Elephas maximus indicus: one gene and its partner. The protein of the gene in region 1 interacts with the protein of each later gene in a pairwise test. Links are inferred from orthologs where the notes say so. Each region holds a gene or a part of one and is shown on either strand. Other genes may lie near its edges. The genes, in order: RPIA and PCMT1.

Region 1 (3,910 bases):
GAGTGTTACATGAAGGCTACTTGGGGCCATTGTGACACAGATGACAGCTTCAGAAGAAAACACATCACTTGGGAGGGCGTCACTCAGGAAGTTGGCAGAGGGGACAAGATAAGAGCAACTGCAGTTCTCTGGCCATGGCAGAGCCCAAACTGGGACAGTTGGCTGGTGTCTTAGTTTGCTAGTGCTGTTTTAACAGAAACACCACAAGTGGGTGTGTTTAATGAACAGAAATTTATTTTCTCACAGTTCAGGAGGCTAAAACTATGAATTCAGGGCACCAGCTCTAGGGGAAAGCTCCTCTCTCTCTGTGTCAGCTCTGGGAGAAAATCCTAGCCTCAGATTCCTTGAAGATCCCCATAAAAAACAAAAACCAAAAACCAAACCCACTGCCATTGAGTCGATTCCGACTCATAGTGACCCTACAGGACAGAGTAGAACTACGCAATAGACTTTCCAAGGAGCGCCTGGCAGATCTGAACTACCGGCCTCTTGGTTAGCAGCCTCAGCACTTAACCACTACACCACCAGGGTTTCCAAAGATCCCCACAGGGCATCTGTTTCCCATTTGTGCTAACTTGTCTCCAAGCCTAATCTGTTCTTTTTCCATCTTAGAAGTCGTTAAGTTTAAAACACACCCAGACTGATATGATCTCGATAATATAACAAAGGAAGCCCCACTGCCAAATGGAATTACACAATTCAGTCCACAACAGCTGGCCAAAGGGAAGAAGCAACTCTAAAAACATTCCAAAGGCGTAACTAACAGGGCTTGGCACATAACCTACTTCAATAAACTCAGACACGTGATTAAACAATTGCAAGATGCAAAGTACTACAGAAAAAGGTGGCCTTCGATAAAGCAGAGGATAATCCCTGGAAGAAGCAGCTAAACCTTGACAATTAGGCACAAGGCTGCCTCAATAAATGTGCGGCCTTGAATCAGTTATCTTGTCTGCAAATTACCCAGGACCTGACTCTCCGCCTCCTCCCTTTAGCCACATTTCTGGCTATCCCACTGCCTGACATCAATGGGCGCTCAATAAATACTCAAAAAACGAATGAAACGAATAAATCAATGTTAAAGAGCAGAAATACATAATTCAAATAGTGTTGGCATCTCAGGAAAAAATTTTGACAAGGTAAGTGGGTATAACTGAGGCTGAGGTGAGGTGCCCTCTGGGTGGCCTGGTAACCTCACAGACTGATGTGGCTGGAATCCAGGGTTTAGAGTCTATACCCTGAGATGAGGGTGTGCAGGTTTTTATTTAACTGAATATATAACAATCAGACAAAGATCTGGCAGGCATATGCTACCAAGTGTTAATGTAAATAGGTTATTGGAACAATTTCAGTTCGGAGCTTTTATATTTCTATAGATTTCATTTATCTGTCTACTGTCCACTGTATCCAGGTACTCAGAGCAGAGGCACTGAATCCCAAACACAGGGCTGATTACAAATCTTACGTTATTACCTCTGTGTGTTCCCAGACAGGGTCTAAAAGACTAACTAGATGTGCATCACACTACACCAGAAGTGGGTGGCAAAAAAGAGTGGAAACGCACTGAAACGGGGGTCACTCAGCTGGGTCCTGGAACCCTCCACTCAACAGACACAAAGCCACAGGTTATCACACCAGCTCCACCCACTTAATCAGGCTATTGTGAAGCTCAAACGACATCATTTATGCAAAATAACTTTATAAAGTATATCATTAACAAATGTAAAAAATGATGATTAGCGGAGAAAAGGAATCTGATACCACTTTCCAAGAAGCAGAAAAAGGAGACAAAAAGCCAACAAGGCCAAGGAAACTCCACTGCAGGGCAGAAATATCCCATTTGGCTTCCGTCGAGATACTATAATTAAAATAATTAACTTGATTGGTTACAGGAAATCCACTCAGGTTAAAAGACTCCTCCACTAAAAGCTCCACACCCGCCCCTTAAATAAACAAGTGAGGCCATGACCTCGCCAAGTAACAGCTAAACATCCACACCCACATCTTAAGGAGCAGCATCCTCCGGACCTAGAGTCCACTCCTCTTCGGTTCTGTCTCCCATTCTCTCTGGCGAGTACACTCAGGAACAGGCGCGCGACAAACTAAGAACCTCCCTGGAGAGAAACTTCAAAGCATTCTGCAAACGAACTTTGCGCTGTGAAAACCAGACAGACCCCTCGGGAGCCCCAGAACTCGACCACTTCCCATTTGTTCATAAGGCTGCCACAGGGAAAGTCCTTTCCAGCCCAGGCCTGAAACAGAAACCACTAGGCTCCACTTTGCAAACTTATCGACCCATCATGGAATCTTGACAAAGCTCAACTTTTGGGGGGGCTCGCCCCCACCCGACACATCTAGAAAGCCTTTAAGGAGCGAGAAAAGAAGGGGGTCTAACCACGGACACCGCGCGCCCCCCTTCCCGCTCACACAGCCCCCACCCGCCAGGAACCAGGCGCGCCGGCAGTGTCCAGAGGGCGCAACACGAGCCCATTAGGCCACCGGCAGGCGCCCCATGCCCGGAGCTGCTCACCCTCACGTGGTTCTCCACGGCCGCGCGGCCCGCCAGTTTCTTGGCCTCCTCGGCCTTGGACATCGCGGAGGGGGCCGGGAAGACGCGGCTGGCACCCCCGCCACTGGTGCTTGCGCTGCCGGTGCGGCTGTAGGACCCAGACTGCGCGCACCCGGGAGGCTGCACGTGGGAACCCGGGGCGGCCCAACTGTTGCCGCCTCCACCGGAGGCCGCGCCCCCGGCCCGCCCGGGGAGCGGGGCCAGGACCCGCCCGTAGAGGGTGCTGAAGGGCCCGGGGCGCTGCATCCTGCCGCCGCGCTCCAGCCTCCACCACGGTCCCGCCCCCGGGCCGCCCGGAAGTCTGGTCGCTTACGCACATAGCGTCCGCCCGCTGCTGCGCGGGTCTCTCTGGGAAATGTAGTTCCATGGCTCCGGCGGTCCGAAGCCGCGCCCCAGCTTGGACTACCTGCCCCACAATGCTTCGCGACTGGCGGTGCAAATCTTCGGCGACAACCTCGCGCGTCAGCAAGTGCGGCGCGAGTAGCCTGCAACCGAGTTCGAAAACGTCTGTATACCTTGGGGAGGTGGATGAATCCCAGGGGTTTTTCTGTCAGCCCACATATCCTAGAAAGAGGTATTGGTCCCGGCCCTGTTGTTTTTCCCAGCAGTAAAAGAACCTGGCGGTGGACCAGACCTCAGGGTGGTGGCTCTTTTGGAGACGTCACGACAAGTACGCGACGGTACCCCCCCCCCGCAAAAAAAGACAAATCCAGTGTCGTCGAATCCTTTCGACTCACAGTGACCCCATAGAGTTTCCCAGGCTGTAAATCTCTAGGGAAGCAAGACTGTCATATCTTTCTTCTCCGGAGCCGCTAGTGGCTTGGTACTTGGGGGTAAGTAGACTCACTTTCCATGGAAACTTACTTCAGAGCTCCCGTGCGCTGAAGTCCATCCTTAGACTCCGGGACCACAAATTTTAAACCCCATACCTTAGACGTTGTTCCCCACTTGGTGATGTTGGATGGCGTGCTTTGTCCAGATCGAGCCTGGCCCCACATATAGCGGTCCCTGCATTTCTTGATGATTAACAAGGGCTTTCACTGAACTTAGGAGCTCTGGTGGCGCAGTGGTTAAGCACTGGACTGTTTACCTAAAGATTGGTTTCCCTGCAGGAGAAACATGTGCCAGTCTTGGCAGTTCTACTCTGCCCTATAGGGTCGCTTTGAGTAAGAACTGAATACACGGCATTGGGTTTCACTGAACTTAACAGCTTTCTCTCTTATTTTCTCCCTTTTGGGTTTCTGGCTGTAGAAAATAATAGGGTCCCAATTTTACAGACAAAAATAATGCCACAGCCGTACCGAGACCAGTTGGAAGTTCTTAAAATTACTTGGCCTTTGT
Region 2 (3,910 bases), on another chromosome or scaffold:
AAATTACCTTTTGGGGACCTGGTGGTGCAGTGGTTAAAAGCTCAGGCTGCTAACCAAAAGGTAGACAGTTGGAATCCACCAGCTGCTCCTTGGAAACCCTACAGGACAGTTCTACTCTGTCCTATAGGGGTCACTATGAGTCTGAATCAACTCAAAGGCAACGGGTTTTTTGGTTTTGTTTTTTTTTTAATTACCTCAGCAAAAAGTTGAAACTAAAGTTGCAGAAGTGTTCCAAAAAGAAGTTAAGTAACATCCAAACCAAAACCGAGCCCATTGCCCTGGAATCATTCCCACCCATAGCGACCCTATAGGGCAGAAGAGAACTGACCCACTGCATTCCCAAGGCTGTAAATCTTTACTAAAACAGACTGCAACATCTCTCTCCTGAGAAGGCTGACAGATTCAGACTGCTGGGCTTTCAGTTAGCAGCCAAACACTTAACCACTGCGCCACCAGGGCTCCTTTAAGTACTCTAATTTCCTCTTCGGAATCATAGAGCCAATATAAAACTAAATATCTTCAATATCATATGAATGTATGTTAAATATTCCTCATTAAATTATCTGACAGAAAAACATTCTTAGAAATCTCAGCTAAGAATAATAATGCAATACATTAAAGTGATTATAAAGCCACTGGAATAAGGTCTAGTCTTGGCTTAACACAAATTTGGCCCAAAAAGGAGAGAAAGATCTTAAGATACTGACTGATTACAAATTTCTACCTCAGTCAAGTGTCTACTGGGATAACCCACTGGTGGAAAATTACTTAATCGCAATTCATGTATAGAATGTTTAAGGTATGTGCTCTGCAACAGCAGGCACATAGATCATGTTAAGAAATTTTATAAAAATACAACATATTGAGTATATGTGCAATCCATGGGAACCTAAATCACACCCACTTCTAATATCCTTTCATAAAATAAGACGATGGCAATGCTTGACAGAATTTTGAAATCTAAACATTCTTCATTACTAAACACTAAAAACACAATTTCCATATTTTAAGTACTGTTTAAAAAATGATATATGACTAATATTAAGCATATTAAGTACAACCATATGCCAGACTGTGACACTTATTTTCTTATCCTTGTATCGGAGCACAGGCCCAGGGTTATAATGGATACTTTATTAGCATTTGTGGAAAAAGGAATGAGTAGTAAGCTCTTTGAGAGGATTAAAAAAAAATTTTTTTAATGACCCCAGCCTTCGAGGTTACAAATCCAGTTGAGAGATAAGACGAACACACGAAAAGCTAAATAATATATGATAATTAAAAAATACCACGTAGCAAATACGATTATTTGCAAAGTTAGTGGCAAAAAGAATGCTATGAATTCTGACCAGAATGACATTATTATGGACTGTGGTCCTTCCGGACTCTGGAACAGACGACGATACTAAATTTCAATTTAAAAAAAGAAAGTGACACAGCACTTATCCCACCCTAAAATTACCGCCAGAGAAAGGAATAAAACAACTAAAGAAAATGGTATAAAGAACTTCCACACAAGGTTTTCTAAAGCATGTGGTATCCCTCACATACAATCGTGTGCTGGGGTCCCAGGACCACAAGTCTCTCAGAAACAGCATCCCCTGGTTATCTCTTCCTCCGCCCCCCACAAGCCTTCTCCCAACATCTGCAATGGCAATACTCTCATCTTCCTTTCCCTCCCTCTGCCGGTATCAGACAGTGGCATCTCCCTCCAGAGGAAAAACCGGAGGGCGGGGGAGGCAAAATAAGAAAGCAAGCTTGCAGCGAGGTTGATTATAAAGGAGGAAGGTGAGAAAACGCGGGAGACGAGGGTGGGGCCCCGGAGCTCTAGCCCAGTCTCTAGGCGGCCTGGCCACCACCACCCGACCGCGAGGGCACGCCCCTCGCCCGCCAGACCCGGACCAGAGGCTGCGGATTCGAGTGACAGCCCCACCACCTGTGCGGCACTCCCTTCCCCACACCCGCAGGGAGACAACTGCCCCTGCCCACCAGCAGCGGTGCTTTGCTCTTTCTCTCCCCTTCCCCTCCACGTCGCCGATGAGTGACAGGTCCCGGGGGAGGTGATCTCAAACGCACGTCGTTCGGGACTACCGGTGCAAGCCTGCGCCGAAGCCCTCCGACAAGCGCTGGGGGTTAGACAGGTTAGACAGAAGGTTCCAGCTCGGCCCGAGGGGACCTGGTCCAGGCCCGGCCTGCCCTAGTTGCCCCACGCCGGGCGGGGGTGGCACTTACTGCGGAGGTTGTGGATTAGCTCCGAGTGGCTGGCGCCGCCGGATTTCCAGGCCATCGCTAAGCACACCCGGAGCAGGTACAGAACCACCTTCAGGGCGGCGACGGTGCCCAGCAGCTTCCCCAGGAGTGAGACCACTTCCCAAACGGTGACCGCCCCGCTCGCGTCCCCGCTGTGGCCGCCGCTGCTACTGCCGTCGCCGCTCCTGCCGCCACTGCGCGCTCCCGGCATGCCCCGCGGCACGCATGCGCCCTGTGACGCCGCGCGGCCCGGGGTGCGGCCGGGTGGGGCCGGGGGCGGGCGTGGCGGCGTACCCGCGCGCTTGTTGCTGCAGTGGCTGCTCGGGCACCGCAAGGAGAGCGAGCTGAGTCAGCACCGCCGCCGCGGCTGCATGCCCCTTCCTGAGACCTCGGGCTGCGCGCTGCCCCTTCCCGGGGTTCTCCCTGCGGCCACACCGGCTGGGCCTGGGCGCGGTCGGTCGCGTGCCGGGCCGCGGCTGCGGTTACGCAGCGCGGAGGCGGGATGGCCGGGCTGATCTGTGCCGCCTTGTCTGGCGGATCTGGCTTCGCCGCTGCGGGTGGCTCTGCGGTCCCCTCCGGGTCAGCTGTTGCGAGCGGCGGCTTTGCTCCTATAGCTGCCCAGATTGTTAGATGGTGGGCTTCCTCCGTCCCGTTTAGGCCGGTTAGAGTAAGAGCTCCCTTCGAGGGAGCCTGAATAATCACAGCAGAACCCGAGGACGCCAGCCTCTGGCTTTGTGATAAAAACATCACTGGTTAGCAGAGACTTTGGGACCCTGGTTTGTTCTCAGTCCTAAAGCACACATTCAGAGTGGAATGGGGAGGAGGTGATCTGCTCCTTAAAATAATAAAAACGTGAAGATCTACAATTGGTTAAAAATACCTCAGTATCCTATGGTGAATGTGTTATTTTCTCAATACAAGTGTGCGCTTCAGCTAATGATGCCTCACAAATTCCACTGTCAGATTGGGCGCTGGCTTTATTGCTATGAGCTCTGCAGATGATGAGTAAGAGACTGACGGGGAACGTTGCCTGTTGCATCCAAATTGCTGACTCCTGATCAGAGCTGAGTCTGACAATTCAGGCATCATTTAGTTCAGTAGTCTTTTAAGGAAAGAAGCAAAGCTATGTCAAGACATCCTATGCTGCTGCAGCAGCAGCAACTTCCAAATTCTAGTTTTTAACAGACTGTCAAGTGCGGCATGCCGCCCACTTCCAATCCACAATATACCTTGTCTATTTTTAAGGATCCAGTGACATAAATGAAACCACACTCATAAGTGTTTTCCACTTCAACATTAGGAGTAAAAGTGTTAGTTTGGGACTCCAATTAATTTAGTAGTTTTCCATTTCATCTTTCTGCAGCTTCCTGATGGTCTTCTGGTTGGGGAAAACAAAAAAAATGTGACGTTCTTAAGAGGAACGTGATAATTCTCTAAAGCCGACCAAGACTGACTGCATTTGTATGTGATGCTACCATAAGCTGCAACTGTGAAATAGGACTGCCAATATCAGATACAAGTAACAACAGTAACAACATTTTAGAGAAACAACCAACACACAGTTATAAATACCTATAGCAAAGGAGATAAAAAGATGGACAACTCATACCTCTTGTATGCAGTAGAATCTATATTCTAGTCCAAGAGAGATGTATCAAAA

What was found.
Region 2: the proteins of RPIA (region 1) and PCMT1 interact in binary tests that used the Homo sapiens proteins (3 or more experiments, as listed by UniProt). The two-hybrid records come from large-scale screens. The link is inferred for Elephas maximus indicus from reciprocal best matches to the Homo sapiens genes RPIA and PCMT1.

The regions. Positions count from the first base shown.
Region 1 is NC_064835.1:46,778,420-46,782,329, forward strand, and holds the start of RPIA (ribose-5-phosphate isomerase), read right to left. Parts: upstream 2,849-3,910; 5' UTR 2,816-2,848; coding exon 2,531-2,815; intron 1-2,530. UniProt on the Homo sapiens protein: Catalyzes the reversible conversion of ribose-5-phosphate to ribulose 5-phosphate and participates in the first step of the non-oxidative branch of the pentose phosphate pathway.
Region 2 is NC_064819.1:221,029,398-221,033,307, reverse strand, and holds the start of PCMT1 (protein-L-isoaspartate(D-aspartate) O-methyltransferase), read right to left. Parts: upstream 2,473-3,910; 5' UTR 2,462-2,472; coding exon 2,233-2,461; intron 1-2,232. UniProt on the Homo sapiens protein: Initiates the repair of damaged proteins by catalyzing methyl esterification of L-isoaspartyl and D-aspartyl residues produced by spontaneous isomerization and racemization of L-aspartyl and L-asparaginyl residues in aging peptides and proteins.